4 linked regions of the Lonchura striata genome follow. The protein of the gene in region 4 interacts with the protein of the main gene of each other region in a biochemical or structural test. Links are inferred from orthologs where the notes say so. Each region holds a gene or a part of one and is shown on either strand. Other genes may lie near its edges. The genes, in order: TRIM63, RNF168, PRKN and UBE2N.

The links.
Region 1: the proteins of UBE2N (region 4) and TRIM63 form a complex in vitro, tested with the Homo sapiens proteins (2 studies listed by BioGRID). The link is inferred for Lonchura striata from reciprocal best matches to the Homo sapiens genes UBE2N and TRIM63.
Region 2: the proteins of UBE2N (region 4) and RNF168 form a complex in vitro, tested with the Homo sapiens proteins (2 studies listed by BioGRID). The link is inferred for Lonchura striata from reciprocal best matches to the Homo sapiens genes UBE2N and RNF168.
Region 3: the proteins of UBE2N (region 4) and PRKN form a complex in vitro, tested with the Homo sapiens proteins (6 studies listed by BioGRID). The link is inferred for Lonchura striata from reciprocal best matches to the Homo sapiens genes UBE2N and PRKN.

The regions. Positions count from the first base shown.
Region 1 is NC_134628.1:396,862-404,440, reverse strand, and holds the start of TRIM63 (E3 ubiquitin-protein ligase TRIM63), read right to left. Parts: upstream 3,007-7,579; 5' UTR 2,988-3,006; coding exon 2,829-2,987; intron 2,741-2,828; coding exon 2,574-2,740; intron 1,508-2,573; coding exon 1,339-1,507; intron 1,079-1,338; coding exon 983-1,078; intron 509-982; coding exon 275-508; intron 155-274; coding exon 132-154; intron 1-131. UniProt on the Homo sapiens protein: E3 ubiquitin ligase. Mediates the ubiquitination and subsequent proteasomal degradation of CKM, GMEB1 and HIBADH.
Region 2 is NC_134612.1:5,260,415-5,267,639, reverse strand, and holds the start of RNF168 (E3 ubiquitin-protein ligase RNF168), read left to right. Parts: upstream 1-4,216; 5' UTR 4,217-4,531; intron 4,532-7,225. Other genes in the region: WDR53 (WD repeat-containing protein 53), read left to right, coding at 2,177-2,764. UniProt on the Homo sapiens protein: E3 ubiquitin-protein ligase required for accumulation of repair proteins to sites of DNA damage. Acts with UBE2N/UBC13 to amplify the RNF8-dependent histone ubiquitination.
Region 3 is NC_134605.1:36,999,486-37,007,457, forward strand, and holds the start of PRKN (E3 ubiquitin-protein ligase parkin), read right to left. Parts: upstream 3,012-7,972; 5' UTR 2,914-3,011; coding exon 2,907-2,913; intron 1-2,906. Other genes in the region: PACRG (parkin coregulated gene protein), read left to right, coding at 3,631-3,837. UniProt on the Homo sapiens protein: Functions within a multiprotein E3 ubiquitin ligase complex, catalyzing the covalent attachment of ubiquitin moieties onto substrate proteins. Substrates include SYT11 and VDAC1.
Region 4 is NC_134607.1:53,630,284-53,637,378, forward strand, and holds the start of UBE2N (ubiquitin-conjugating enzyme E2 N), read right to left. Parts: upstream 3,011-7,095; 5' UTR 2,914-3,010; coding exon 2,884-2,913; intron 1-2,883. UniProt on the Homo sapiens protein: The UBE2V1-UBE2N and UBE2V2-UBE2N heterodimers catalyze the synthesis of non-canonical 'Lys-63'-linked polyubiquitin chains. This type of polyubiquitination does not lead to protein degradation by the proteasome.

The sequences.
Region 1 (7,579 bases), on a different chromosome or scaffold from region 4:
GAGAGCAGCGGTGTGTGCGTGTCCCTGTCCCCCCGCGGGGACCGTGGGGCAGCGGGGCAGGGCAGCGCCCACTCCCCAAATCCTGCCCGTGGGGGCTGGAGCGTGGAGATTCCCCCAGTTTGAGCACTTACGTTTTTATCAGCTGCTTGGCGTTCTGTGGAGGGAGAGAAGGGGGAGGAGAAGAAGGAGGAGGAGGAGGAGGTGAGTGAAGCAGCAGCAACCACCAGGTCGTCCCCAGCAGTGGGACGCCACGGGGCAGGTTTGGGGGTCTCACCATGAGGAAGGCGGCCCCCCCGGTCTCCTCGGCTGCCTGGATGGCGGTCTCCACCAGCCGGCTGGACTTCTCCAGCTGCTCCTTGTACTGGCAGATGAGGCTCTGGATGAAGGCGGTCTTGTCCGCCTGCTCCTGGGAGATGCGCTGCAGCAGCTCCGCCTTCTTCTCCTGCAGCAGCGCTGCCAGCGCGTCGAAGCGAGCGCAGAGCTCCCGCTTGGCCGCCTCGCTGTTCTCCTGCGGGGACAGGGGACAAGGGATGCCACCTCTGCGTCCCCCCAGCGCCTGCAACACCCCAGGGCTTCCCTGCTCCACGGGCTCCACCCCACTGCCGCCCATGCCCGGCTGAGGTTTCACTGTCAGGTTTTGGGGGGCTCCTTTCTGTGGGTCTCAGATTCAGTCAAAGAAAGACACTGAGAGTTTCTAGCCAGGCAGAAGCCTGGGAAAGAGCTGGGAAAGAATGTAAATAATTCTTTATCTCTCTTGTTTTTCACATTGTTTATAGATAAGTTCTATCACTGTGCGTCAAGCACTGTACACCAATAGCGTGGCTTGTTTTCACTTCAGAACCAATGGATTTGATCCTTGCGAAGCTCTGTATAAAAGAGCGGGGTATTTTGAATAAATCCGAGTTTTACTCTCAGCAGCCTTCTGATCAGTCTTCTCATTCCCGTCCTGCCTCGACAGCGACGCCTCTCCCCCTTTCCTCACCTCGGTGCTCTGGCAGGAGTCCTCCAGCTGGGAGATGATGGTCTGGATCCGGTCGTTCCCCGCCACCAGCATGGAGATGCAGTTGTTCAGCTCAGTCTGGTGAGCGACAGAGAGAAGGAGTTCTAACTCCTGTGGAGGCAGGAACTTCTCCCATCCCAGCCTGGGGACGGGCTGGCCATTGCTCGTCCCCAGCCCTGCTCCCCCTCATCCCTCAGCAGCCACTCTAAATATAGTCTGTCTCCTGGGCGAAGTCACCCGGGGGCTATTAATACCCCGTGAGGCAGTCCCGGAGTTATTTGTCACTGTCCCAGCTCAGCAGATGGCCCGCAGCCCCCCCGGGTCCCCCCCCAGGGCACCTTCTGTCCCTGGAAGACGCTTTGCAGAGGGGCCACCTCGCAGTCCTTGTGGGCACCGAAGACTTTGCACATGGAGCAGGTGGGGACCTCGCAGGTGACGCAGTAGATGTTGATCCGCTCGTCCTCGTGCTCCTTGCACATGGGGTGCTCCCCCTTCTTCAGCGGCCTGCTGGAGAGGGTGGCACGGCCGCGGTGACATCGCCGTCGCGGTGACACCCGCACCAGGCTGATGGCCCCCGCCACCCCGGTGTCCCCACTGCAGCATCACCCCCACCGTGGTGACACATCCACCTGTCACCCCGAAATCGGAGAGACGCCAGACCCTGGCACAACCCCACAGCTGCTCCTCTGGGAGCCACCAACCTCTGCAAACCCCAGCAGGTCCCAGTTTAGGCCACCGTGGCGCTGGGCATGGCAGCGGGTGGCACCGGGGACGGGGGGGGCTGCGAGCCAGAGGAGCTGCACCAGGGCCTAATTTTAGCCCTGTGCTGCCCGGATTTATTGTCACCCATCGTGTGACCGGGGTGGGGACACCCAGAAACCGCCGGGGGTCCCAGACGGGGGCTGCAGCTCAGTCCTCCCATCCACAGCAGGGAGGGACGTGGGGACAAGCCAGCAGCCTGAAACAGGGACAGGCCTGGCCCCCCGGCCCCCCCAGCAGCCACGGACACCTGCCACGTGCCATCGTCCCCGTCCCCATGGCTCTCACACAATATTTACAGCGGTTCAGGGAACCTGGCTGGGGCCACCGCTCTGCCTCGAGAGCCCGTGACCCCTCTGTCCCCCCCAGCTTCATCCTTGTACCCACTGGGCCCCCCCCAAACCGTCCCTCTGCCCCTTATCAGCCCCGGTGCCCGCTGTCAGCAGCAGAGCCCGGATTCCTTCCCCACACCTCTTATCTGCCAGCCAATGTTCCAGCAAGAGGGGCAGAGGACGTGCCCGGCTGGCACCACCCCCAGGGACCTGCCACCCCCCTGGGACAGCCAGAGGCACAAACTGCTGGGGCAGAGGGGAGAATGGGGCTGGGGGAGGAAGTTTTGGGTGCAGGAGGAAGTTTTGAGTCACGGGAGGGAGGTTTTGATGGCGATTTGAGTCAGGAAAAGCTCTGAACCGGGGATGGCTGAGCAGGAAGACCCCCAGGTGCGATCTCTGGGGGTCTCAGCGCTGCTGCCGGGGCACGGCTGGGGCATCCCCGTGTCCCCACGTCCCCGTAAGCCCATGGCCGCGCTGCCCACCTGGAGCACTCCTGCTTGTAGATGTCGATGATGTTCTCCACCAGCAGGTTCCTCTGCAGCCCGTAGACGCCGTGGCGGTCCAGCAGCACCTCGTGGCGGCACGAGGGGCACCGGAACCGGCCCCCCGAAATCAGACTGCCGCGGCTCTGCCAGTACGGGTTGGCAGCCTGGGAGGGGAAGATGAGCCCGGGGGGTCCATCAGTACCCCCACAACACCCCGGTGCCCCCCGGGCCGGGCGCGGGGGCCCCGCTCACCTGGAAGACGTCGTTGGCGCACTTGCGGCACAGGTTGTGCTGGCAGGGCAGGATGACCACGGGCTTGCTGAACATCTCCAGGCAGATGGGGCAGATGAGCTGCTTCTCCAGGCTCTCCATGGGGCTGCCATCCTGCAGGATACCGCCTTGGAAATCCATGGGCTCCTCAGGGCTCTGCTCCCGGCGCTCTCGCCGCCGGCGCCCCTCGCCCCGCTATTTATAAGCCGCCGCCTCGTCACGCGTTTGCCGGTCGCGGCTCGGTGTCGGGTGTCCCGGGACAGGGGACAGCAGCTGTCACACGGTGCTGAGCCACCGCAAGGGCCGGTAAACAAGATGGGCACAGGCTGTCCAGGAGGCGCTGCCCACCCGTGCCGCGGACGTGCCCGAGCGGGAGCCGCGGGGTAAACAAGCGGCTGCGCGTCCCGAGACCCCGGAGCAGCAAGCGCCAGCCCCGCGGTCATGAGGACATTGCGACGGTTCCAGAAATCCGCAGCAGGGCTGGCTCGTACAGTTTGTCCCTTTCCCCACCCAAAACAGGAGCAAATCTGGGGGGCAAACGCCTCCCCCCGTGCGCTGGAGGGACGCAGCCCCCATGGCTGGCACACGCAGCGGGGTGTGCCCTCCCCAGGCACGGGCTGGGGGGCTCCTCCGGGAGCCCAGACCCAGAGGGGGCTGCTCAGGCTGCCCTGGCACGGCCCTGGCACGGCCCTGGCACAGCCATGACCCAGCTGGCTCCGCTGCTGGGGTTCAAGCGCTGACCCAGAAACGGCTGGGGGGGCAGAGGGTGAGCACAGCCCTGGCTGGAAGCAGCCCCGGCCACGATCCCCGCCGGGCTGGCCAGGGGCCAGCGCTGGCCGCGGGGAGAGCTGCCAGCGCGGCTGGCACAGGGGTCACCACGGGGGGACGGGGTGGCAGCGGCGGTGCCCACAGCGACTGCGGGCAGGAGATGGTACCGGGGTGGGGGGGCACCTGGGTGCACAGGTACGGGGTACAGGGGGTACCTGCACAGGTATGGGGTGCAGGGGGCACCTGGGTGCACGGGTACGGGGTGTGGGGGGACACCTGGGTGCGCAGGTATGGGGTGCAGGTGTCTGTGAGCACACAGGTGAGCAGGGATGCACAGGTACATGGATAAGTGGATGCACAGGTACATGGATAAATGGATGCACAGGTACATGGATAAGTGGATGCACAGGTACATGGATAAATGGATGCACAGGTATATTAATAAATGGATGCCCAGGTACATGGATAAATGGATGCACAGGTACATGTATAAATGGATGACCAGGTACATGTATAAATGGATGACCAGGTACATGTATAAATGGATGCACAGGTACATGGATAAATGGGTGACCAGGTACATGTATAAATGGATGCACAGGTACATGGATAAATGGGTGACCAGGTACATGGATAAATGGATGCACAGGTACATGGATAAATGGGTGCACAGGTACATCGATAAATGGGTACCCAGGTACATGGATAAATGGATGCACAGGTACATGGATAAATGGGTACCCAGGTACATGGATAAATGGATGACCAGGTACATGTACAAATGGGTGACCAGGTACATGGATAAGTGGATGCACAGGTACATGGATAAATGGATGCACAGGTATATTAATAAATGGATGCACAGGTACATGGATAAATGGATGCACAGGTACATGGATAAATGGATGAAGAGGCACATGGATAAATGGATGCCCAGGTACATGTATAAATGGATGACCAGGTACATGAATAAATGGGTGCCCAGCTCCCTGGATGTGTCACACGCGGTGCACAGCACACGGTGCCGGGGGCACGGACCCCCTCCTCTCCCCACGCGGGTGTTTTGGGCTCCCTCCGCCCCGGCTCACGCGTGGAGCGGGTGGCCGCGCCGGGAGCCGCGGGGCACACGGGGCAGGATCGTTCCCGGGGCGGCGCTCGGGGCTGTGCCAGCGAGGCGCCGGCAGCACGGCGGGGCTGGTGGGCACCCGGGAGGGCAGCGCGGGGGTCGCACCCTATCCTGATGGCATTGGTTCATGAATCGCTGCTGGACTCGCTGAAGGGGACTCCCAGGAGCGGAGGGGCTGTAATGCCCTAAGCAGCTTTCCGAACCCACAAGAGGCTCGTTGGCCCCTAATTGGCTTGGGACAGCTTAGGCAGGAGCCGGGCACTAATCACCCCCGGGATCCTTCCCAATTAACCCCGGAGAGCCCACTGAGGGAGGAATCTCCCTCTGCCGGGGCTTCGCAGGGCTCTGAGCAGTCGGTGGCCCTGGCTTCTCCCAAAATGTCCCTGTGGTGGCTTTGCCACGGTGGGGGAGCCCTGCGCCCCCAGCCCCGGGGCATGGGGGGCACTTCCAGCCCTGCAGCCTGAGGGGGAAAGGGACCCACGGCACAGAACAGGGAACAGCGAGGGGCGACAGCTCTTGTGCCACTGTCACACCAAGCCAGGGCACGCCCAAGGGCCACAGGGGCGCTTTACTCATTTTTTTCTGGACGCCAAGCAATAAATTGTAGAGTCCCAGAATTGTTTGTTTTGGAAGGAGCTTAAGTCCCATCCAATGCTGAAACGCGGAGAAAGATTAAAACCCCACAATTATAATAAAGATTTGTGGGGAACGGTGTGTTTATTCACAGTGTTGTGGATGCATGTGGGGACTCATTGTTCTTTAATGGACATGTGCACCCCTGAGAACTCCTGATCTTTTTTTATTACTCTAACTTCTATATGCATAGAATCTTATAATAGGTTTATGTATATTTATTTTATTTATTTTGCGTTATACTTACAGTTAGTTACACTTGTATTTAGTTTTTGTCAGAAAGAATTCTTGGGTCACTCTGTTTTGTTTGTTTTAAGGTTTGAGGAGTTTTTCTTGTCTCTTATCTTTTTAGTGTGGAAATCTGTATTTTTTTTTTTTTTAGTTAAGGTAGTTTTGCTAGTGCTGTAGTTACTAGACTAAAAAACACATTTTACTTAAATCCAGATTTCTTTCTTGTTAAATTTTTACTTTATCTCATTGCCACCGCGGGGACACCTCCCACTGTCCCAGGCTGCTCTGGGCACGCTGTGCCAGGGCCTGTCCGCCTTCACAGCCAGGAATTCATTCCTAATTAACGAACAGAAATTTAAGTCATTCATTGATTGATTAATTAATTAATTAATCTCATTAAGCGCCCACGGCGCTCGCGTCATGGCCGGGGAGTGGGCGTGGCCGAGGAATGGGCGTGATATTATGTGGGCGTGGTCACTGTGGGGCGCGACCAATGAGCGGGCGTGGTATTGCATGGGCGTGGTCATGGCGGGGCGTGGCCAATGAGCGGGCGTGGTATTACATGGGCGTGGTCACGGCGAGGCGTGGCCAATGAGCGGGCGCGGTGCTGTGTGGGCGTGGCCGCGCGGGGGCGTGGCCGCGCTGAGGGCGGCGGGCGGAGCGCAGCCCTAAGATGGCGGCCGGGCGGCGGCGGCGGCGGCGCTGAGGTAACGCGGCTTCTCCCGGCCCGGTTCGGCCCTGCTCGCCTCGGCTCGGCTCGGCCCCACCGCCTCCCCTTTCCCTTTGTGGTGGTGCTTGTAGCGGGTGGGATCCGGCTGCAGGTCGGGCGGGGGGAGTGGGGCCATGCCCACAGCGGCGGGCCGGCAGCATCGCCCGCTCTGAGGCGGCGCTTTCCCTTCAGGGCCGCAGGTGCGGCCGCGCCGAGCAGGAGGGGTGTATATATATCACCTGCGGTACCTTTATGTTTGTGTTATTCTCTAATCGAGTGTTTATATTATTCGTTATTCGCTGCCTGGGCCCGGTGTCCGCCCGGCCGCCCCCGGGGCAGCCGCGTTCCCCCGGGGCTGTTTGGCCACTGGGAAATTGAGATTAAATTAAAGCTCCTGCCCTTGTTGGCCCATTGCATCTCAGTCCCAGCCCTAATGTGGAGCTGCACCCCTGTTCTCACACACGGCACAGCTTGGTTCAAATCCTTGCTGCAAATGTCCCTCGCACAGCTTTGCTGAAAGGTTAAAATATCTCTGTAGCATTACCTGAGACTGATGATACCTTTTTTCTCTCTCTTTTTCTTTTTTTTCCTTTTTTTTCTAAAAAAAAAAATTACCTAAAGCAGTGGAAATACTTGAAATCTTCCTACTAATAACATGTGGTCCTTATTGCCTGACATAAAGAGAATTACCTTTATCACTGGCTGTCTTAGAGCTATTGTAGTTCTGCTCTATCAGTGTGATTTTATTTATTTATTTACTTTTGGTTTTGCGTTTCATTCTGTTTGACCAGTGATCCTTGGCTAGTCAAGCTCTTATTTTTTTATTTTAATTTATTGCTGTCTCTAGTCAGTGTCCCATTTTGGTTTGGTTGCATGAAGGTGGTGCTGGTGTTTGGTTTGTAATCTTGTAGGGCAGCGTGTAGGGAGGGTCATAAATCTGCAGCAGGGTTTGGTGGCTTTTTTTTTTTTTTTCCCCTTCTTTTTTTTTGTGTGTGTGTGTGTCTCTCTTGTTTTACTTTCAGAGCAATAACTTAACTTTTGTCCTTGCTCTGTTGAGCAAAAGTGAAAGCTAGACGTTGGGTGCAAACTCCTGCAATCAGTTATCCTTTTTAACCTTCCATAGATGTAGATTCCTCGTGCTGGGGAGGCTTGGCGAAAAATCAGTCACCTCAAAAAGATAAACGGGGAGCGACTGAAGCTTCCTCTCCTTGAGTCAAACAACTGGATGATAACAGAAACGTTTGCTCCCGCAGCCGCCTCCACACA
Region 2 (7,225 bases), on a different chromosome or scaffold from region 4:
GGACTGAGCAAAACCAGTAGCTGCCATTAGGGATCAGTTGTGGCTGCAGATAAGATGCAAATGATGGTGAGGAAAAGGCACAGTGTTTGAGGCAGGCAGGTAGAGCAGCATCTTTCCAAGTGGAACATATCACTGTGAGAACAAGTGATTTGTATAATTTATCCGTTGTTCTGTTAGCATCTTGGGAGCATGAAATGTTCTTTGCCTTTTAAATTTTTCTATCCTCATCAAGAGGAAACTTTGCCCCTTGCATTCTGAGACCCATGCTGGGAGTTAAGCCCAGAACAGATATTTTTCAGTAATTTCTTTCCAGTAGTTGAGGTCTGACCACATTCCTGGTTTAGCCCAGTATGAAAACTGTCACTTCTCAAAGGTTTCTGTGGTTCCAGCGGTGTCAGGGTGAAGTCTGTGTGACAGGTTTGAGCAGTTTCAGCCTGTGTTCTTGAAACCAAAGTACATCTCACAACCCATTAGAGCAAGTACATGCTGATATTTAGTATAAACTATTTTTCTGTGTTAAAGCCATGATGATCGATCCTGTTTCAGAGGAGTAAACTCTCAGTCCCTCAGCTGGCTTAATTCTGGTCCCTAAAATGCAGATACACAAGCTTGTGGCTGGAAACTTTTTATCAGAATTGTAAACGTTTATGTACAAGGAGGTACAAGGGAGCTGATTATTTTTTGTGACTTTTTAGTATTAGGTTCATTGATTGTAGCTCAGCAAGTTGTTTTTTTAGGTGAAAGTCAGTATCCCAAAACAGGATTTAATTAGTGTGCTTTTGTACAGTGAAAAGACCATCATTCTGCATTCTGCATTCTGCATTCTGCATTTAAGATACATCATTTCCCAAAGGGGAGCTTAGCTGCAGAACTCTGAAGTCCTGTGCTGCACCATGTCTTTGGACAAGTTATGAGCGCTACAAAACATATTCTGGGCTTGTCAAACCCTCGGGGAAGTCATGTCTGATGAAAATTGAAATTGAGGTTGCTGGAGTTCTTTCAGGAGTTCCAATAAAGCAGAGAAAGTGCCATGAGGACAGAAAATACTTAGTTTGCAGAAAACTCTTCAGCAGTTGATGGATTCATCAGGTTGTTGCCGTGCTGTTTGTGATGAAAACAGGAGTATTTTCTGTAAGCATCACCCAGCTCCTCTGATTTAGAGCAAATCACAGTTGTGGAAGTAGTTTTAGTGCAGCAGCAACAGCAGTAACTGAAACAGGAAAGTGACAGGAAATATATTTCAGATGTTTTAGTGTGATTTGGATTCCGGAAATGCAGAGCCAGGCTTTTTTGTGAACTAAATTTAAAGGCTCTGGTACTTCTTATTGGTGATTACTACTAAAGGAATATTTTTATTAATAACAAATTGAAGCTTAGCTTTATGAAGCAAACAGTACACCAGTGCTGCATTAGAATGACTTGGGCTTTTCAATCTGTTGGCCTTGAGAATTCTCATTGTCAATTCAGATCCTACAAAAGTCTTGAGAGCATTATTTTTAATTGGCTCAGTATAAATATGTAGTGCTTGAACTGCTGTACAAGAGACGTGGGATTCTTCACTGGGGGCTTGGAGGTGGGGTGGCATTGGAAAAGGAAGTCTAAAAGCACAACCTGCCCCATCTCAGTAGGTTAAGCATGCCCTACTCCATAGCACAAACCAGATCTACTCACTGGATATAAAAATAAATACAAATATGCCTGTTTAAAGACCACAGCCTTAACTGCTGTTTTTGCCTTTTGCTGTCCCATTTTTAAGACACATTCATGGCAGTGACTATTACAGGCCAAGTAGCAGAGACAGAAATCCAGAATGATAATGATCTCTATTCACTGCTAGGGTTTCCGTGTCCCTCCTTCTCAATAATTGATGTGCAGTACATCATGATTGCTACTGCTGGAATAAATGCAAAAGCTTTTAGAGCAGTGTTAGCATCTCTTCCATGGTCTAAAGGTGTGAGTCATTGACTGCAGAGTGTGGTGGTGGGGCTTTGGAAAGCAGGCCAGAAAGATTTGCTACATTTATTAGGGCAAGTTTAACCACACGCCTTACAGTTCTTGGAGTCACACACAACCTTTGCTCTGCTAGGAGAAGTGTGGTTGCTTATTTTACCGTTAAAGATCCGATTTGAAGTAAAACACACAAATAATTTCTTTATCCTATTGGTATTTTTTCCAGGTGATGCTGTGGAACCTGCAGAAAGTTCGTCCCTTGTGGACCACAAACCTGCAGGAGTGTGACATGGAGGAGGAGAGCCTGCAGTCAGCCGGGCAGTTCTTCAACCCGCCGCTCGCGCATTCCCTGTCCGTCGCCTCTTGCGGCAACGTCTTCGGCTGTGGAGCTCAGGACGGTAAAGTCCGAATATTCCGAGTCACAGGTGCCAGGTTTGAACGGGAGCTGGAGTTCCAGGCTCACAGCTTGGGAGTCTCACAGGTGCTCTTTATGCCTGAGGCATACCAGTTGTTGTCTGGAGGAAACGATGGGAAAGTCTTGCTCTGGGATGTCAGCAGTAATATTGGGAAGCAGCAAAAAAGTCCAGCAAAATCTCTGCACAGGAGGAAGGCCCAAGCAGCTGCTTCCAGCAGGAAAGATGGGAAGCTCAACAAAGCAGCCTCAAATGAACACCCTGGAGTTGTGCCAAAGCTCAGCATTGAACACGGAGAGAAGGTGAACTGGCTCTTGTTTGCAGAGCTCAAGGGCTCCAGGAGAGTGTTGGTTGCTGACCAGACCAGCTCAGTATCAGCCTATCCATTGCCAGAACCTTAAGGCAGCCAGGGGCTTACAGAAGTCTGGGGGATAAAACCACTTCTCAGAGCCAGTTACTTCCACTGACAGTGAACTGGACAGTGAACCCCTCTGGGTCCTTGGGAAGGGAAAGGGATTTGCTGTGCACTCATGATGTCCCTGGCCTCGTGCTGGTTCCTTGTGGCTGTTATGTTCACAGCTACTCTCTCTTGCAGGGTTGGAATTTTGCTGCTTGGATTTAAGTGAAACGGGTCTCTATATTTAGGGGTAACATTAGTTCATGGCTAAGCTGACGTAATTAAGGCTGGAGGAGAAAATTAGTGCTCAGGAGACACCCACAATGCTAAGTGAGGCTGCTGAACAGTAGCAGGGCTGTCATTGGCTCAGCCCTATGTGGTTTGGGCTGTTGCAGTGCTCTGTGCGAGTTCTCCCATGAAGCTGTGTCCCAGTTGGCTTGAACTGGTCATGGTGGGATCTGGTTTTCATCACTCTGTCAGCAGCTGCATAGACTAGATGCATCAATTAATGAGTAATCAAATGAGTTTCCCTGTGGTTGCCAACTGAGTTTTTTCACTGCAGCAAAAGAAGGAGCAGGGGAACTGTTACACCTGTTTGCTGGGTCAGCTGTCAGTTAGTTGTGTATCCCAGGGAAAAGAACTATTACACTTGGCTTAATAAATGCTTTCTCTCTCACTGTTCCCTTGTCCTTAGAATCACTCTAATAGTGCCAGACTCACACAAAATTGTGTCAAAAAGTTTATTTACCCCGATAGCAGGGTGAATATGAAGGGCCAGAGGCACAGCTTCTCCTTACCCAAATAGTTCCTGTCTTCCTAAAGCTTTGAAACACAATGAGTAGAACTTGGCTTGCTAGAAGCTTCATTTGCAAATTGAAGGTAGGAAAACCTAAGTGGAAATGTTACATCTCCAGACATGTTCAGTTCATGCTCAATTTCCCATGAAGTGAGCAAATAACTCTTTTAAAAGGGTTTTTTTTCCTGGGCTGTCCTTATCCTGTCACAGAACTGAATTCCTAGTACTGGCTGAGGACATGCTGCACTGGTGGTAGGTTTGGGTTTGTGCTGCTGTGTTTACCAACTGGGCTGTTACCAGACTCATACTATATTGGAAAAATTTCCAGTTCTATTTTTTTACATACAAAACTCTGGAAAATCATTATCTGGTTGTGCTGCCTCTGTTCACCCTTTATGGAAGAGATTCCAACTGTCTTGGTTTTGCTCAAAGCAGCTCCCTGCAACCAAACACAACTCATTCTCATCCAAATCAGATTTTACCTTTGTACCTTTTTAATTAAAACAAAAAACAAAGGCAATCTGCTTGTACAGCCTTTCCCAGCAGGAGACTTTGGCCCAAGACATGATCTGGTGGGCGCATCAGCAAATCAAAGCCAAAACACAGCAATAAAAAAAAAAAAAGGCATAAAATTGTACTTGTTCCTTTTTGTGTTACCTGTGCATGAGTTCATGTGTGAAGACATGGGATCAGTGGGGCAGAGGAAGGGGTCGGGTCGGGCTGTGTGGTTCAGTGTGTGACACATCCATGAACGTGTGTTGGTGCATCCATGACCTATATTTGGATATACAGGCTATAAAAAGCCTTGGAACAAACAACCTCCTGCAGGACTCGGATCCCCTGTCCCTGCTGTTGCTGCCGGCTACAGGAGAGAGGAGCGAGCCCGCTCCAGCTTTTATTTCTTCTCTTGGTGTTCTCCAGGAAGATGGCGAAAGCCAGCATCTCCCTGCGCTCCCTGAACGAGACGCTGAACAGGTCCTGCAGGGCTGGGGAGGGACAGGGAGGGCACGGAGGGCTGGGGCATGGGACAGCTAACACGGGACACCAGGCTAACCTGTGCTTCTCTGGAAACTGCTGTGGGCAACTGGCTGTGAACGGACAGCGGGAGGAAAGAGGGACCGAGCCATCAGCTCCACGGTGGTGTTATTCCCTCCCTGCCATCCTGGCAGTTTGGTGCAGGATTTGGGCAGTTGCTCCATCATCCCTGGCCTGCAGCTGCATGAATTGTCACCAGGCAATGAGGGTACTTGGTCTGTTCAGCATGGAGGACACTGAGGGGAGACCTCGTTGAGGTTTACAACTTCTTCATGAGGGGGAAGGAGGGACAGACACTGATCTCTGTGGTGCCCAGTGACAGGACCTGAGGGAATGGCCTTAAGTTGCATAAGGGGAGGTTTTTGTTGGATATTAGAAAAACATTCTTCTCCCAGAGGGTGGTCAGGCACTGAAGAGGCTTCTCAGGGAATGTCACAGCACCAAAGCTCCCAGAGCTTAAGAAGCATTCAGACAATGCTCTCACAGGGTGGGATTGCTGGGGGGTACAGGAGTGCAGGGCCAGGAGTTGGATCCTTGTGAATCCAACTCAGGATATTCTGTGGTTCTGTGAAATTCAGGCTTGCTGTTCTAATTAGAGATTTCAGGTGAACTTCTGATTTTCAGATCATGCCTCAGAGTCTGGAGAGTGGTTATCATGAGCAAAAAAGAACCCCAAGAATGGACCTTTCTTAAAAGTTTTAGGAAAGCAAATCACCATCACTGGGGAATCAGGTCATAGGTGATGCTGATTCACCCTCCATTTCCAAAGCCTGCACTTGGCAGAGGAATGTGACCAACAGGTTCATAGACTTCCTGAAAAATAATCTGGCCTCAGCTGCCCCCGCTGGCACCAGTTCCTGCTCGGCTGTGCAGCAGCAGGCACCAGTGGTGGTGGCTCAGGGCAGATACAAAGATACGAGCATGGATCTTCAGGAAAAACAGTCAAAAAAGGGTCAGAAATTCTCAGCAGTTAGAGGTAGGAAGGATACTGTCCCCACACTCTGGATTTTCACGTTCCTGAAAGGGAGGTGAGGCCCTGGCACAGGCTGCCCAGAGAAGCTGTAGCTTCCCTGGATCCCTGGAAATGCCCAAGGCCAGGTTGGATGGGGTTTGGAGCAACCTGGGATAGTGGAAGGTGTCCCTGCCCATGGCAGGGGGTGGAATGAGTTGGGCTTTAAGGTCCTTCCACTCAACCATTCTGGGATTCTAGGATATTTTACATTTAAAGGCAAACTATGCAGTGTTGAGACTTTTAAAAGTCAAATCAGGTGTCATACATACACCTGTGGTTTACCTGCAGTGAAAAGGATCCCTGTTGAGAGTATCACAGCTGATGGGATGCAGTACTTCTGCTTAGGAAATGAGTGATTATGTGTTGACAGACAGACAGCTGACAGACTTGGAAAGAAACTGCTCTTGTCGAGGTACTGCTCCTAACTGTTAGTTCATCCACAGCCTTTATAACTCTGATTCACATGATGGTGAACACAAAAGTAGCTATTGGAGACCGGACCAGAAGGAGAAACAGTGAAACAACTCCTAAAAGAAAAAAGTGAAAATTAATTCTGTGGGAATCTACTTGAAGAAGTGTGTGTCTAATGTACCATGGAGTGAGTGAATGGGGAAGGCTTGGAGAAGTGTGGGATGCTGCACTGGCCTGGAAAATCAAACCCATGTGACAGCTCTAAAATATCATTTTCTGTAAATGCCTGAATAGCAGAAATAAGGTCTCACAAAGAACCACACTTCCAGAGAAGTGGGAATGCTGGAGCTTCTACTGTATGGCTTCCAAATATGTTCTGTGTGCTAACAAGAGAGGAATTTTAAAAGCTTTCTGGTAAAGAATGGGGATGTGGTTTGTCTGTACACTAGTCAGAGTTAGAGGTCGCTGACTTAGTGGTAACTTCACTTACACTAAAGGAAAAAGTGTTCAGAGGTCATGATGGAAATGAAAATGGGAGGTTTAATCCATTCTTCCTCTTTTCATTCCAAACTTAGATCAAGAGGCAGCAGCACTCAGTCTATCAGAATTCAGTTACAGCTGTGGGAGATCAGTTATGGATCTACCATGGTATAACTGAACAGACATTTTTAGATCCAAAATTGGCAAATGCTTAAATGTTTATTGCAGGTGCTTGAAAACACAGAAGATTAATTTACAGAAAGGCAGTAAAAAATGTTTGAGAGATAAAACTGGTCAAATAGTAAAGCATTGGACTGAAGCCTGCTGAGAAACCACTGCTGCACTGAGAGTAGCATTAGTGATGAGATCTTAGATAACTTTACTCCTACTTGTAGAGGAGGAAGTTGGAGAATGGGCCGTGTGGAAGCTTATTTACCTTGACAAAAAGCTGCAAACCAACAATTCACCGGCAAGAACACTCATTATCTGACAAACCAGCTCTGGAAGTCATTCACAGCAAAGCCCAACTCACCTCACCTCAGTTTCTGCACTTCCTCTCTCAGTGCTGACAGATTCGATCCAATTATGACACATCAATCCTTCGGGTTTTTCTGAACTCCCTACATTTCTACATGACACCAGCTTAGTTTCCAATTAAAAGTTCAATTTTCATCCCAAAATTCTTGCTGAAGCAAGAGGAGTCCTGCCACAGTAAGATGAGCTCCACCAGG
Region 3 (7,972 bases), on a different chromosome or scaffold from region 4:
ACTGTTAACTATATAGAGTCGACCTTCTACATTTTTAAAACAGTTTAGGGCCTTCTCCTGGCATTTTTGCTCTTTGAGAGAGATTTTCTGAAAAAATTTCACAAAGCTGTCCCAGCATCTTCCTTCAAAATCAGTTTTATTTTTTTATTTTTCCCCCCAGAACAGGTGTTCAAGAATGTGACATTATTGCCAGGGCTGTTGACTAAGAAATAGATCAGCCAATCCAACTGCAGATTGCCACTTCCATTCCACTAACAACAGGTTTTAGCTGATCCAATGGTAAGCAAATAAATAAAATAAAGAACAAGCTTTAAAACCCCACCTCAAAAAAACTCCCCAGACCTACCAAGCCCCTAAGTAGAGGTAATGCAAGCTATGTCACTTAACTAGCTCAGTCCGGATTCAAATTACACTTTAGGGAACCTGAATGTGCATAAGTCTACATGACCTGGTCTGTGAGATATGAAGAGAAAAAAGAAAGATAGAAAATAAAAAATCAGTTAAAGGAATTATCATGTGTATATTATGGTATCAAATTATGAGGATGTAAGACATTTCTAGAGATATGAAACTGTGAAACATTTTGAAAAATATACTATGTATTTTATAGGAAAATTCTTTTAAATACTCAAGTTAAAAAAATGGGCAGATTATTTTCTCACCCTTGCATTCCTACCCCCAATTTTTGCTATGGCATTCCCAGCTTCCAAATGTTTAGAGGAGTTTTCAGAAAGTCTCAAAGCAGGATACTGGACCAGGTCTCCACATCACATACTTTGAAGATAATTCTTTTTTTGGGGGTGAGTGGGGGAGGGTGACATGGTTTTTGGGGTGTGGGGAGGCTGGGATAGAGTTAATTTGACTTAGAAGCTGGTAACATGATGCATCTTGAATTTAGTTTGAGAATAATGTTGGTAACACACTGGTGTTTCAGTTGTTGCTAAATAGTGCTTAGCCTGAATCAAGGACTTTTCAGTTTTCCATGCTCTGTCAGTGAGGAGGTGCATAAGAAACTGGGAGAGTGTGGCCAGGAGACAGCTGACTCAAACTAGCCACAGGGACATTCCACACCAAGAGATAAATTGGTGGGAGCTGGTCTGAGGATGGGCTGGGCATTGGTCAGTGGCCAGCGTACAATTTTATTCTGCATCCCTTTTTCCTCCAGTTTTCTTCTTCTCTCTCTTTTTCATTACTATTATCATAATCATTAGCATTATCAGTATTTTTATTACTCTGATTCAATTATTAAACTGTTCTTATTTTACCTGAAATTCTCCTCCACACCCTGCAAGGCAGGGGAGGAGGGGATGAGCCAGTGGCTGTGTGCTTCTTAGTTGCCAGCTGGGGTTAAACCAGGGCAGGTTGCAACTCATGTAAAGCTGTGTTTTTAAATATGCAACTAATTGGTCTGTACATTTCATAATCAATATTCACAAACGTTTCCATCTGCCACAGTGAAAATAAAATTATCATTCCTCAGTCACAGAACATTTATATTCATGAGCAGTAAGTAAATATTTAGATTTCAGTGTGAAGCTAGAGGCATCAGCTCTGTAACCACATGGGCAGTCCCTTAGGTACACTCAACTTACTTTTCTGAAGCATTGAAAAAACAAACACACACTGCAGTTCTGCAAACACATGTATTTTATATACTACAGCGATACATCAGATCAGCAGATAACATTGCAAAATAAAAACACTGGGATACCTGACCCTCTGTGCTTTCCTTAAGGCAAGCCTTCAATTTAAAATGTTCTCTACTACATAAGAAAAAAGTAGCTCAAATGACAAAGTCCAGTAAGAAAAATTCCACAATTAGGAAGGGATCATTTGCATTAATATGTATACAGAGTGAAAATACTGGACAACATTCTTTTTAGTTTTAGCAAAGGTGAAAGAACATTAGCTATACACATGCAATCATATTTTCACTGCTAAGAAGACCCAAAGCATTCTTGGAAACTTCTGAGACGTTCCATTTAAAAACAATAAACATTTTCACAACAAAATGCGGAGTTTTCAATTTGATCAGATCTTAAGTAGACAGCAACCATGACACCAATGCTGACGAAACAGCAAGCCTGAGAACAGCAAGGAGTTGCTAAAATGCGTGTGTGCAATCCACTACCTTTTATAGGTTTTACTTTAAATAATTCTCAAAACTGAGAAAATCAAAGATGAAATGCATAATAAATAGGAACGCTACAAAACAGATCCTGCAATTTCGAACTTTCCCAGGTATGGATTAATCTTTCAAGGAAGTGAAGAAAACCCACTGCTGAAACAACCAAGTCACGCTTCACACCAGCATTGGATGGGTACAGAAATCAACTCAAGGTCCAAAGGGTCACACTCCCAACACCGTGAGGTGTTGAAAGTTTCTTCTTTTCCAGGTCGCCACCAGGTACCACGCCGGATTAATAACAAGTATATATGCTGGCAAGGCCAAAAAACGTTCGCAGATCGCACAAACCTTGCCGAGAAGCACTTACAATCGATATACCGAAAAGGAATAAAAGAGCTCTAAAAATGAGCTCAGTCACAAGAACTGGCCAGACCTTTCCCCCCCTCCCCCGGGGGTAACAGAGGAGGGCTTTGCCCCGCCGCGGTTTAAGCAGCGGGCCAGGAGCGCGGGCGGCCCCAGCCCGCCCCGCCGCGAGTGCGAGCTGCCCCGCCCTGCCGAGACACCGGGCGAGGCGCGCGGGGACCGAGGGGAAGCGAAGGGGGCCGGGACAGCCCCCGCCGCTCCCAGGGCCGCAGAAGCGACAGCAGAGGCAACAAGAGCAGCGGCGCCAACAGCAGCGGCCGCGGCAGCGCCGGCGAGGAGGGCGGAAGGGAAGGGGCGGGGAGGAAAGGGCGGAACCGCATCCGGGCGCGCCCCGCTCCCTGACGCGCTCACTCACCGATCATGGCGGCGGCGGCGGCCCCGCGCGCGGAGAGGGGCGAGGCGTGCGCGCACGTGCCGGCCGCACCCACCGCTCCGCGCTGCCCCTTTCGCCGCCCTGGGGGGGTCGCGCCGCTGCGGGCGTGTTGGGCCGGCCCTGAACGCGCATGCGCCTCGGTGGCGGAGGTGGAGGCACGCGCTGGGCTCTCTGGGTAGCGTAGTTCCTGGGCAGCTCACACCCGCACACGCTCTTCTCACGTTATCGCCTCACGTTTCCGCCACACACCGCTAATGACTTTCTCGTTAATTGCTGTCCGCCGCCCCGGTGTGCGGTGCACCGGGGGTAGGTACAGCTGTCCGGGACCGGGCGGTGCCGACGGGGCTATTTGTGATTCCCCTCCCGCTTCCCTCAGGGTTGTTGACGCGTTGCCTGGCAACGGTCGCGTGGTGGCAGGTGCCGACGGAGCTCGGCAGGGCCGGAGCCGGCGGGGACACCGCGGCGGGCGGGAGGGCGGGGGCGAGACCCCCGGGGGACAAGGACATCAGGTGGCGAAGGGCTGGACACGGCGGGGTGCGGGGGACGAGCGGGGATGATGCAGAAGGGGACTGGGGAAGAGGGGCAGGCAAAAGGGGTCTGTGAGGAGTAGGGAAGGCGCGGGACGGGTGTGTGAGGCTGCCGCTGGTTGCGGAGGGAGAGAAGCTGGACCTAATGCCTGCTCTAACTCGCTGGACACGGGACGCTGATGGTCGCTTGTTTTTTCCAGTCCGTAACTTGCATCTGGTCCGCCGTGGGCGCCGGTGGGGAGATTGTAATGGAGGAGGGGCGCCCGGGCCCCTCAAAATTGGCCGGTGACAGGCGGCCCCAGCAGCAGGAGAAGAAGGACAAGCAGCAGGACAAGCAGCAGGCCTGCGAGGGTTTCAGTATTAGAGCCATGATGAAAAACAGCGTGGTATGTTTGCTGCAAGCATAGTGGTGATACTAATTAACTGAACTTGTCCAAGAAGCATAGCAAGTTAGAGCTGTGGATATAGCGTGGCAGGAAGGTGTGCAAGTTTCTAATACTTTATCTGGAGTTTGCTGGTTGCTGAAATTACCCTCGGACTTTGCAGGAGTATTGCTGCAAGTTGCGATACTTTCACCAAGTGCTTTATTTTGGTGTTACTTCTTTTTTTTTTTTTTTTCTATGGTTTTGTATTGGCAGTGCACATCCTGTTAAACTGCCAGCCTATGGAATTGTGCGTGAAGCTTCCTGCCTCCCACTTAGCAAAATGCTGTCCAGTAGTGCAGTATTTCTCAAAAGTTTTCATACACTGGCATGGTATATAAAACTGATATGAATGTCACATAGATCTGGAAAATAGATTAATAGATTTTTTTAAATAAGCTTGGAAAATAACTTCTACACCATCTAGGAGAATACTAAACAAACAAACATTAGTTCTCCAACTTGTAGTTCAAAGACAGAGAAATTGATCCAACAAGTAGCAGTCACAATTTCTAATGAACTTGGAGGCTTGGGAGTTAAAATAGTAGTATAAAGGCCCTTCAAATCTCTTTATACTGTTTTATTTATCTACCTTTATCAGAATTTAGGAGTTAAAAGCTTTAACTAGTACAGAGTACAAATATTCAACATGTGAGTGGATGAGGTAATATTACCATACATCTCTGCCTAAGCTCCTGAATTGTATTCTTCATTTGGACACAGTTCAAGGTGTTAGCAAAGGCTTGAGTCCTCAAGGGTTTTTTTAAATCTATAGAGTGTTCTGACAGCTGTTATGAAATACATTATTTCCCTTTGTTTTGCTGAAGTGGTCTTCCTGGAGCAGTCTCTCTGATCTTGTTATCAAGATGTTATGTTATCAAGAAGAAGTTAGCAAGAACATCCTCTTAAAAAGCCAAACAAGTATGTCTTTAAAGAAATTTTAAATAGAGTAAAAGTTGTATACCTGAAAAACTTTCTCCTATTTAGTAAAACTGCAACATATTTCACCTTACTTGGAAAAACACAAGGTGAATACAGCCAAATAATCTCTTTGTTTTAAAGATTGTTTGGTTTGTTTATTTTTATTGTAGAGATGCATGGAATGAACTATAATACTTCAGCAACCTTTAGGATTAATTTTTAAAATATGTTTCCTGTTCTCCAGAGAAAATTCAAGTAATGGATATTTGCATGTGGTTGTTTACACCTAGATATGTAAAAGACTATTTTGTCTAGAAGAATCAGCAGTTTCAGTTGAGTTTGAGAAGCACATATTTAATTTATAAAAAGGAGCTGTGACTTGTGAACATAACTAACTATGAGTTTAATCAGAATTCAGGTTTCCTTTTAAATATTTATAGAGTATTAATTTTTATGGCTGCCTTTATGACTTCCTAAACATGAACAGACCATTAAATCATGTGATACTGTTGTTAAGGAACTGCCTACAAGTAAATCTGCTGCCTTTGCAGCTACTCACAGAATAACAGAAATTATTTTCTTTGGCATGGACATCTGGAAATCATCTAAGCCAACTTTCTACTTGAAGTGGGCCTGTCACCAGTATCCAGATCAGGTCAGTGAGGGTTTTCCTAGCTAAACTGTGACATCAGGGATTGCCTGACCTCTCTGAGCAGCCTGTTTCATTTCTGCCCTGCTCATCTGTCCCCTCGCTTGCCCTCCCAGCCTGTCAGAGCTCGGGTTTACAGTATTATGACCTGCTGCACATGTTCTACTCATAACTGGGTTGGAAGCTCTGAAATTCTTAGTGGTCTTGGGAGATTCATAGTGCCAGGGCTATGTTTTGCAAGAGCTCCATCTGTGGTCAGGCAGCCACCAGAATAACTTCCAGTGTGCAAAAAAAGGAATATCTCATAGCCACGCTCTCTATGCTGAAGTGGGAGTTTCTTTTTACTTTTCCAACTACTTTTTGAATGGAGCTTTAGATTTATTAAGTACTCACTTGTCAGAGGTTGACATCTTTGATGAAGTTCTCATGGAAGGCTTGGGAGTTAACTGAAGGGTTGAAAGCACAGCAGGAATATCTAGTTACGACATGGTAATTCTTTTTGTTAACAGCATGATAAGGCATAGGGTTAAACGTGTTTGGCATCTCCAGGTCAAATAATGAGGTATTGATTAATAGCCTTTAGTGCAAGCATGTAGTTAGTCTTAAACTCTTAGCGTAGATTACCTTTATGCATATATGACTGTAAATATTATACTAAATGTTCCGGAATTCTTTTACATTGCTTGGGCAAAGAGTGTTTTACTAAGCTGTTTTTCTTGAATGTTCCTGAATAAAGTCTGCTTTTGTAGTTAGTAGTAAGTGCAGAAATTAAGTAGATACAGTATTTAAGACTTTTCTCAGCTCTTGCTAAATCAAAAACTTGCTTAGTGAAATACAATGCTTAAATATTCACCTAAAAATGTTCCTGAACTGAATAAAGTGTTTAAGTTACTCCAAAACTGTAAATTTATATATCAGTTTAGATTAAAAGCAAGGTTCAATAAAGGTCTTCTATAATAACAAGAAACATTTACATTTTTATTGTTTTGTCCTCCGGTGAAATCAAGAATGTTATGTGCTCTTACTTCAGAGGTACTGCATATAGAACTAGGAACACAATTAAAAATTAATGTAGAGACTAGCCGATATAGAAGTGTCTGAACATGAATGTGAGCAGCAGGAATATATCTCAATTCATTTCTGATCCTTTCTAGATGACATTTTCCTGTTTTCTGCAACTGTAGAGAAGAGAATGAAGTGTTAGTGTCCCACTTTTCTGTAATGCGCTGGTGGTAAAAGCACTTTTTCAAGGACAGGATTCATTTTAGTACTTAAAGGAAACAGTAGAATGATAATTCTTATCTATCTCCCAACTCTTATAAGATTACTATTACATTCATGTGTTCCATGACATCAGTCAGAAATTGCCTTCAGGAACAGGCCACAGGGATAGAATGAGAATATTTACTAGATGATCTTAGAAAGGAAGGGATGCTAAAAATTTTCGTTTCTGTATTTCTAAAACCAAAGCAGCTATTCAGCCTTAGAGTCTTAGCTCTGTATAGGGCACAGCTTTCATCGCCTAAAAAAGTGTAATTGCTCTTAAGCAGAAAAATGGTTATTTGTATTGCAGCTCTGGATTTTCATTCTTCTGTTCTACATTTAGGAATCTGCAGTCTCTATGTGTGGGAATGAGTTCTCAATCTTTGTACTTTAAGCACTTCTCTCAAGCCATTTTCAGTAATGTGTTGTGAAGAGCTTTCTTACGCTTTACCATTAGAAAATAACTCCTAGAAAAAGTTTAATTTTAACCATGATGTGATTTGTTTATGTTCCGAAATTTGTGATTTGTCATTATATTTATATTCATCTATCCACTGCATAATCAAGACTGATTTTGTTATTTACTTTGTAGCAGTCAAAGTTTCTAATTTGATTTTGAGGCTATAGGAAAGAATACAAGAAAGTTGTATCTTTTGATTATAACAGCTAATTTATTGGAAGAATCAGTGTGTTTTGGGGCAAATAGATGTCAAGTTAAAGGAGTATTTTGATAGAGGTATATTGAGAAGTAGCACATCTGTCTTGGAGGAACTTCTCCAGTTTAACAATAGCAGTTGTGTACAATCTAGGAGTACACTTCAGTGAGCACTGCAAGACAATTTAAACTGTCAGTGCTCTGGAAGGCAGTCCTATCTTCTTCCTCTCTCAGGCTGTTTAGTACTGCTGCCTGTTGTTGTGTCCTCATTTGTACAATGTTGGCTGCTCAGGGAACTGTTCGTGCTGAAAAAACTCCAACCTTTTAAAGCTCACAGTGTTGAACTGCTGTCTGTGGGATTGAGGCAAGCAAGGCTTCTCCTTTAACGAGGTTCATCTGTTTTGCCCTTCTCCCTGTCCTGACTGCATGCTTTCATCTCTCCTTTTGCACTGATATTGTTTTTTCTTGTAAATATAGAGTAAGTTGGATCAGCTGTAACAGCTGCAAAGGGAAGCAGGAGAGTGTCTGCATAAACTGTTTGTGTGAGAATGTACCCTCTTGGAAATATTGCAGTCTTAATTAATTTAAAACCAGTATGATACCAAGTTCTA
Region 4 (7,095 bases):
AACACATTTTATCTTACATTAATAGTTTTTTTGTCATGACAATTCTCATAGGATCCCTGGTGTTGAACTACTGAAGAAAACAAAAATACCTCTTCTCTATTCAAAAGATACAATGTTTTCCAATTCTGATTACGTCTTTTAAGATTCAAAACTACATCAATGTCTTCTACTCACCATTTGTGATATGCTAACAGTCATAATTCTAAAGCAAGTCACCTTTTGAACTTACAGACCATTCCCACACACACTTTATTAAAATCCGTTTCTAAGTAATCTGAGGACAGTAAATTGGGAATAATTCTGTATCTTCTGCAACAACTGCTTTAAAACACCCATACTGTCACCTTTTCATTGAATTTGAAGTATTGGAAACATAAACAGAGTCCTTGCCACTGCAAGGAAAACTCCTGCTCTCCTCCTGGGCTGGATGACAGCCTGCACATAGCAAAGACGCAGGCTGAGGAGTACAGGGCTGCAAGTCAACCTGAGAGCCCGGCCATCTGCCAGCAGTCGCTCAAGACAGGGAATGCCAACTGCATTTTGAGCAGCCAGCCAGGCTCAGGACTTTATCACAGTCCAAATACAATCTCCTAGCCCCAAGAAGCCATTGATGGTCTCTCCTGGATGACAACACAAAGGGTGCATGTGGCAAAAAGGGAGAAGATCTTTTCCTAAAAGTAACCTAAGCCATGTATTTATCGTGAAATTTATTACTGTGCATAGCATGAAGATTTCATTTTATTTACTGGAGTTATTTTAACATTACTCAGCTCTTTCCTATCCTGATCTTTCAAATTCTCATTAGCAACTGAGTTCACTCCCTACCCACCCTCTAAGGCATCCAGAATAGGAAATTAAACACTAAAGTCAAAATTGGCATGATAGAAAAGATCAAAACAATTCTCACTCAAGACTCCCAAAGATTTAAGCAGGAGTATTTCTGGGTCCACACCTCTGCAGCTGTGGTATTTCAAGATATGACTTTGCACATTTTTGAGGCTCTAGTAACTAGTCAGACTCAAGTCCTAGATCATACTCACATGTGGCAACCTAAGGCACGCACAGCACAGCAGCTGAAGAGCTGATCATCTAACACAACCAAGCCAAGATTTAATAACTCTAGACTGGCTGCAGACAACTTTCCAATGCACACATGCAAACACCCAACCCATCATATGTCTAAGGGGGCTCCTTCACAGAAAATCTGGAGTTTCTAAGACTCTCTTTTGCTCTCCACCTTTCTTCTCCAGGAGGAAAACAAACAGTCCCACATCACCACATATCTTTGAAGTGAGTTGTGTAAATTGCGCTAGCGTTTTTTTCTAGAAAAGCATGAAGAAAACAAAAGTACCAGGAACAAAATTTATGCACCAACATAAGTGAGTGCACTTCTTGGTTGTATTCTGGGGATCTGTCAAAAGCAATGAAAATTTAATGCAGACACCAGCCTCATGACTGAGCTCTTACTGCAACTCTGTGATAAATACCAGTTCCACTGTATTATGAATCACTGTTCCCTATCACACCTGAAATACTTCAGATTAGCATGGTGTGCACTCAGACAGCTGGATAGGCATCAAAATCAGTAAGATTTGTCTTCTTTATTTTTACTACTTACTTACAATTCTGAGCACTAATTGTAGTTTAGCTCCATTTCACAGAAGACAAACACTACTGCCTTATTTTACCTCATCATCTCTATCACCTACTTGATAACTTGACTTCTTGGACAAAAATAATGTATTTTTTTGTCCACTATTTAAAACTTTATAAATTAATTTATTTACAGTGTTTACCAACTGAGAGAGCTTCAGAGTATTAAAAACTAACATCCATTCACTGTAACAGGCTATGAGGATGCTGTCATTTCCTGTGAGGGCTAACCAACCTTAATGGAATCACTTAATAACTTTTATAAAGAGAATGATCATCCATTCAGGGGCTTCAATTCACACCATTACAAATCGAGTAGGAGACAGCAGCACAGCAGGAGCAACCACGTGAGCTACAGGACCGAGCTGTTTGATAGCTTGCAATACAGCTACCAATAAGTGTCTCCAAATTACTCAAATCTTATGCTGGAACCGAATTCGGAGGATCTGCTGAAAATACCCCAAAGTTAAGAGCCCTTGCAAAGCTTGGCAAATCACAGTCGAAACATGATACCGAAGCACCAGCACGACACGTTGATAGAGTAAGGGCCGACAGCTCCGAGCAAACGTAGCAGTAACCGGGCTGTCCCAGCGTGGACCACTGGTGCCAATGTCCCGACGCACACACAGCTGTGGCCAGGTTTAACTGCTCGCTGTGGCTCGTCCCTCACCGCACACTAGGAAGCCGAGCACGGCGCCACCGCCGCCCTCCCCCGGGCCAAGCACGCCTAGAGCTGTGCCGGGAAGCCGGGGCCTGGCGGAAGCCCCCAGTGAGGAGCCGCTGGGTCGGCGGAAGACAGCGGGGGATGTGCCCGGTGTCCTTCGAGCTCCGGACCCCGAAGGCTGTGCAGACAGCAGCGCTCGGCAGCAGCGGGGGCCGTGGGGCGCCGCCGCCGCCCGAGCAATCCCCGCGAAGGGCGCGGGCCCGCGCCCGCCGGGAGGGCCCGGCCGCTCCCGCCGCCCGCGCGCGCCGACACGGCGCGAGGGGAGTCCCGCGGCGGCGGCGGGAAGCGGCGGGGGCGCGGGCGGGACGGCAGCGAGGAGCCCCTCGCCCGGCAGGGGCGGGAGGAGGCCGGGGAGGCGGCCCTGCCCTAGCGCGGCCCAGCTCCCGGGCACCGGAAGCGGCGCCCGGCGCGGCGCTGCGCTCGGCCGCGGACCCCGGCCCGGCGCGGTCGGCGCGCCCGGCCGGCATGGCGGAGCGGCGCGCGGCGGGCAGGGCGCGCGGCCGTACCTTGATGATCCTGCGGGGCAGCCCGGCCATCTTGTCTCGTCGGTGCAGGCTCGGGGCGCGCCTCCGCTCGGGGCGCGCGCACGGCCGGAAAGACCCGCGCCGCGCTTCCTGCGGCACCGCCCTGCGCGCGTGGCGCCGGGAAACGTAGGATACAGGGATGGGCGTGTGGGGTCCGCGCCCGGCATGGGCGCTGAGGAGCTGCCGTCAGCGGGGCCGTGCGCTGTCAGCGCCAAGCGTCTGTTCGTCCCTGACTTTTAGCTTCTGTGAGTGTTCCTAAACCTGTCTCAAAGCTACCTTAGAACATCAGTGCCTAAAACACAAGGAACTACTGGCAGAGTCTAGCAAAGGGCCACAAAGGTGATGAGAGGTTTGGCACATCTCTCTTAACGAGGAGAGTCTGAGGGAGCTGGGCCTGTTTAGTCTAGAGAAGAAAAGACTGAGAAGGAATCTCATCAATACATAAAAATATTTCAGCGGTGGGTATCAAGAGAATAGTGCCAGACTTTTCAGTGGTGCCCAGCAGCAGGACAAAGAGCAATGGCCATAAACTAAAACACAAGAAGTTCTATCTCAACATGAGGAAGAACTTTATGTTGAGGGTGACAAAGCACTGGAAGATGCTGTCCGGAGGGGTTGTGGAATCTCCCTCTCTGGAGATACTCAAAACCCACCTGGACATGTTGCTGTATCACTTGCTCCTGGTGACCCTGCCTGGGCAGGGAAGGTGGAAATAGGATCTTCCCTAACAGTTCTGTGATCTTTGTCTTAATAACACCTAGTTAGCAAACCTTTGTTCTTTTTCAGCAGAAAGAGGAATATTGTAAACATTGCAGTATAATTATTGCACGAGCATACTAGGACATTACTACGGATGTATAGTAATAGTAACATCTAAGAATGTATGTCATTATTTATGGGAAGTAAAAGCACAGAAAGATGAACTAATTTCCCATAGGTTGCTCAGCAGGTCAGCAGCACAGCAAAGAATAGAACCCTATGTACATATGAGTCCCTATCAAGTGTTTTCTTCCGGTTTAAAACAGGACATAATTTCTGTGTACTCTGGTAGAAAGTAAAGTTCTCTGGCAATTGCAAATCTAGGCGAAAGACTCCATGACTCCAACACTTATTTAGATTTCAAAGCATCTTCATTGGTCCATACCCTCAAGACAAAAGTTATTGGAAAATGATGTATTTTGTTACAGTGCATACTGAATTACTTCTCTTTCTTTGTTTCTGCCTTCACCCCTTTTTTTTTTTTTCTCTTTTACACTTCTCCCAGAATATTCCATTAAAGGACTGGCATACATGGAAGAAAGCATGGGCCAAAAGTTTCTTGAAAGTCTGTAAGACACAACAACTGAGTGGAACACAGTTGGCTCAAATAAATGCTCATTGGTGTTGAATTCAGTGTCTCCTTTCAAGTGTTGTAGACCAGGAATCTTGCTTCAGCTGGAAGTTACAGCTGAAGCAAGAAGTTAAGTCAGCTGAAGTTGCAGTTAAGTCAATCTGGCTTATTATGTTTTGACAGCTTTTGTTGCACAAGTGGTTTGTCACATCCTGGAAGTTTTCATTATACATCTCCTTCTGGCTTCTTTTATGAAAGGGCTTTTGAAGTCCACTTGATCAGGAGATGGCAGTGAACAAATACATTGATTTCTGTTGTCATATCTACAAAAATTTAGATTGTTCCCCTAAGCTATTTTAGCTCCTAGAAGGACTGCTGCAGAGATCCGAGTATCCATATTGGGCTAGAAAAGCCACCCAAACTGGCTACTCCAGAATACCAACTGTAGACTGGGGACCTGTAGTCCCCATTCAAATGGGCATTCATTCCTACAGCCCAACTCCACCAAGGCCTGCCTCCACAGTGCGGGTTATTGACTGTATAGTTTCATGTCAAGGGCACACCACTTTTTAGTTGCTTTGCTGCTGCCCTCCTCCTCTGCCACACACTGCTGTTCCCTGAGCTCACACCATGATCTCTCACCTAAGACAAGCTGATCAAAAGCACAAGTGGTTCCTGGGTGAGCAGTGAGCTGCTGTGAACCACAGGCAGCCACACAGCTCTACAGGTGAAGCATAAACAAGATTGGAACCCATGCCTGAGGGTGTGAGAAAAGGACTTTCAATAGTCCCCTGCACTAGGGATAGTGTGGAAGCACATACTTGAGGTTAAGGTAGACCAAGCAGCTGAGTCAACCTCTTAAAAACAGGACTTCTTTCTTCCCTTTCCTACCTCACTCCTTCTACCTTCCTTCCTTACACATAGCATTTTCCCCACTGTTCATTCTGTTGAGCTGATGCAATACTAACTTGGCAGAAAAACAGCCATTCAGTGTAGTCTTTTGCTGGACTGGTGAATTGGTTTGTCTTACACTGGGGTTTGGCAAGCCCCAGACAACAAAAGGTAATAGAAGTGGGAGTGAAGTTGTATGCTGTAGTATCCATGAGTAATTAATTTAGCTTTAGATGCCCCTCAGCTTTTAGGAGAAGCTGCAGGAAGCACTGAGGTCCAGCTCCCTTTCCCTGCTCTACATTCCTGATCCAGTCTTGTCATTGCTATGTATCTACTGGAGTATAGGGGGTTGTTGTTGGGTTTTTGGGTTTTTTTTTTTGCTAAGTTACCCTTCTGACCAGCTCACTGAGGCATCAGAGCTGGCACAAGAGAAGCAGCTGGAAACCGAGTGAGAAGGTGCAGGTGTAGGACCATCCCCTCCCGCAGCAGTGACCTGTTCTGTTGGCTGAGCTGATCTTATCCCACTGCACCACTACAAAAGCCAGGATGGACAACACAATCCTCCTCCCACAAATCTGTGATTATCACATCATTGCCGGAATTACAGTGGTTCCAAGAACAAAGTTAGGCAACCACCTTATTCACCAACAAAGTGTTCTATAATGCTACTATAGGCAGGGAAGGTAAAGAAGTAATTGCAATTAGGCAATTAATTAATACACCCAGAACAATTCAATACAGCTGCTGACCATCTTCCTGTCACAGCTTCTGCTGTCATCAAATTACCAGACTTACTCACTGAGTGGGTGCATCCAGGCCAGCTGAGCCTGTGGCTGACTAATCTTATTTCCTCCTCCTAGCCCTCTTTGCAATCTTATAGAAGTTTTACTGTAATTACAACTCTCTTTCAAATGCCAGATTCTTTATTTTTGCATAAAAGCATTTCTATATTTTTGCCAAATATTGTAGAAAATCTGTTCTACAGCAAAAATCAGATGTATGTATGTACACATACGGAATGAATATTCACAGTAATATCAAAATTTTATATTAAAAATGTTCAGTAAATCCCAGAGTAATTCCACAAGAGTTGCTATGATGCCTATGTACAAAGGAGGAAACTAAGCCACAGAAGTGCAGTGTTTTTCATTCAGCAGTAATTTAAAGTGTCATTGGACAATTTCAGAATTATCTAAACTGGTAGGACTGGGTGAAACTGTACTGAGAGAAGAAAAAAACACCACTAGTTATATGTTTTACCAACTTAGAACATCAAAATGGGATCCTGTGGGAACCCCAGCCTTGTTTTGGGGCCACATGTGGTGGTGAAATTCCTCCTCCAACCCGTGCTTCCAAAGAAAAACTCCGCAGGCTTAGCTGTTCGGTCTCAAGGCAGTTTATTGCTAGTTATCTAACAGATTATGTTCTTGGACTGCAGCTATTTGATCAGTGGCCTGGGTAGAGGCACACACACACCCTGACATCCTCTCTATCTGCTGTCTTCTTCGTCTCTCCCTCCGCCCAGGGTTGCTGCTATCTTTTATAAGATATATTACGTATAACATGTTTACAATTATTCCCCAATACCTACTACCTACGTTGCCAAGTGTTTTTCTACTCTAAACCAATCTGTGAGTGCCAACATCACCAAGAACATGGAGGTAAGGAAGAAGAAGGAAGAAGGATGGGATCAGCCCACTTTCCTCCATCTTAGAACTTCTGACCCCCATGTACAAAGTGAAAACCCCCCTGTACATGTGCTAAAACCCCCCTGTACAATACTAAAAAAATTTCCCCTCTACTTCGTAACTACTTATACTATACTATCTAACCTTTTGTGATTGCTTGTTCCACCTCCAAAGTTGGTAATTCATTCCATGGCTCAAACTCAAAATCACAGTTGTTTTTCAGCTGTCTGCCAGGGTCTAGAATGCTTCTGACCAAGGCCTGGAACCTCTAAAAATGTCTGAGAG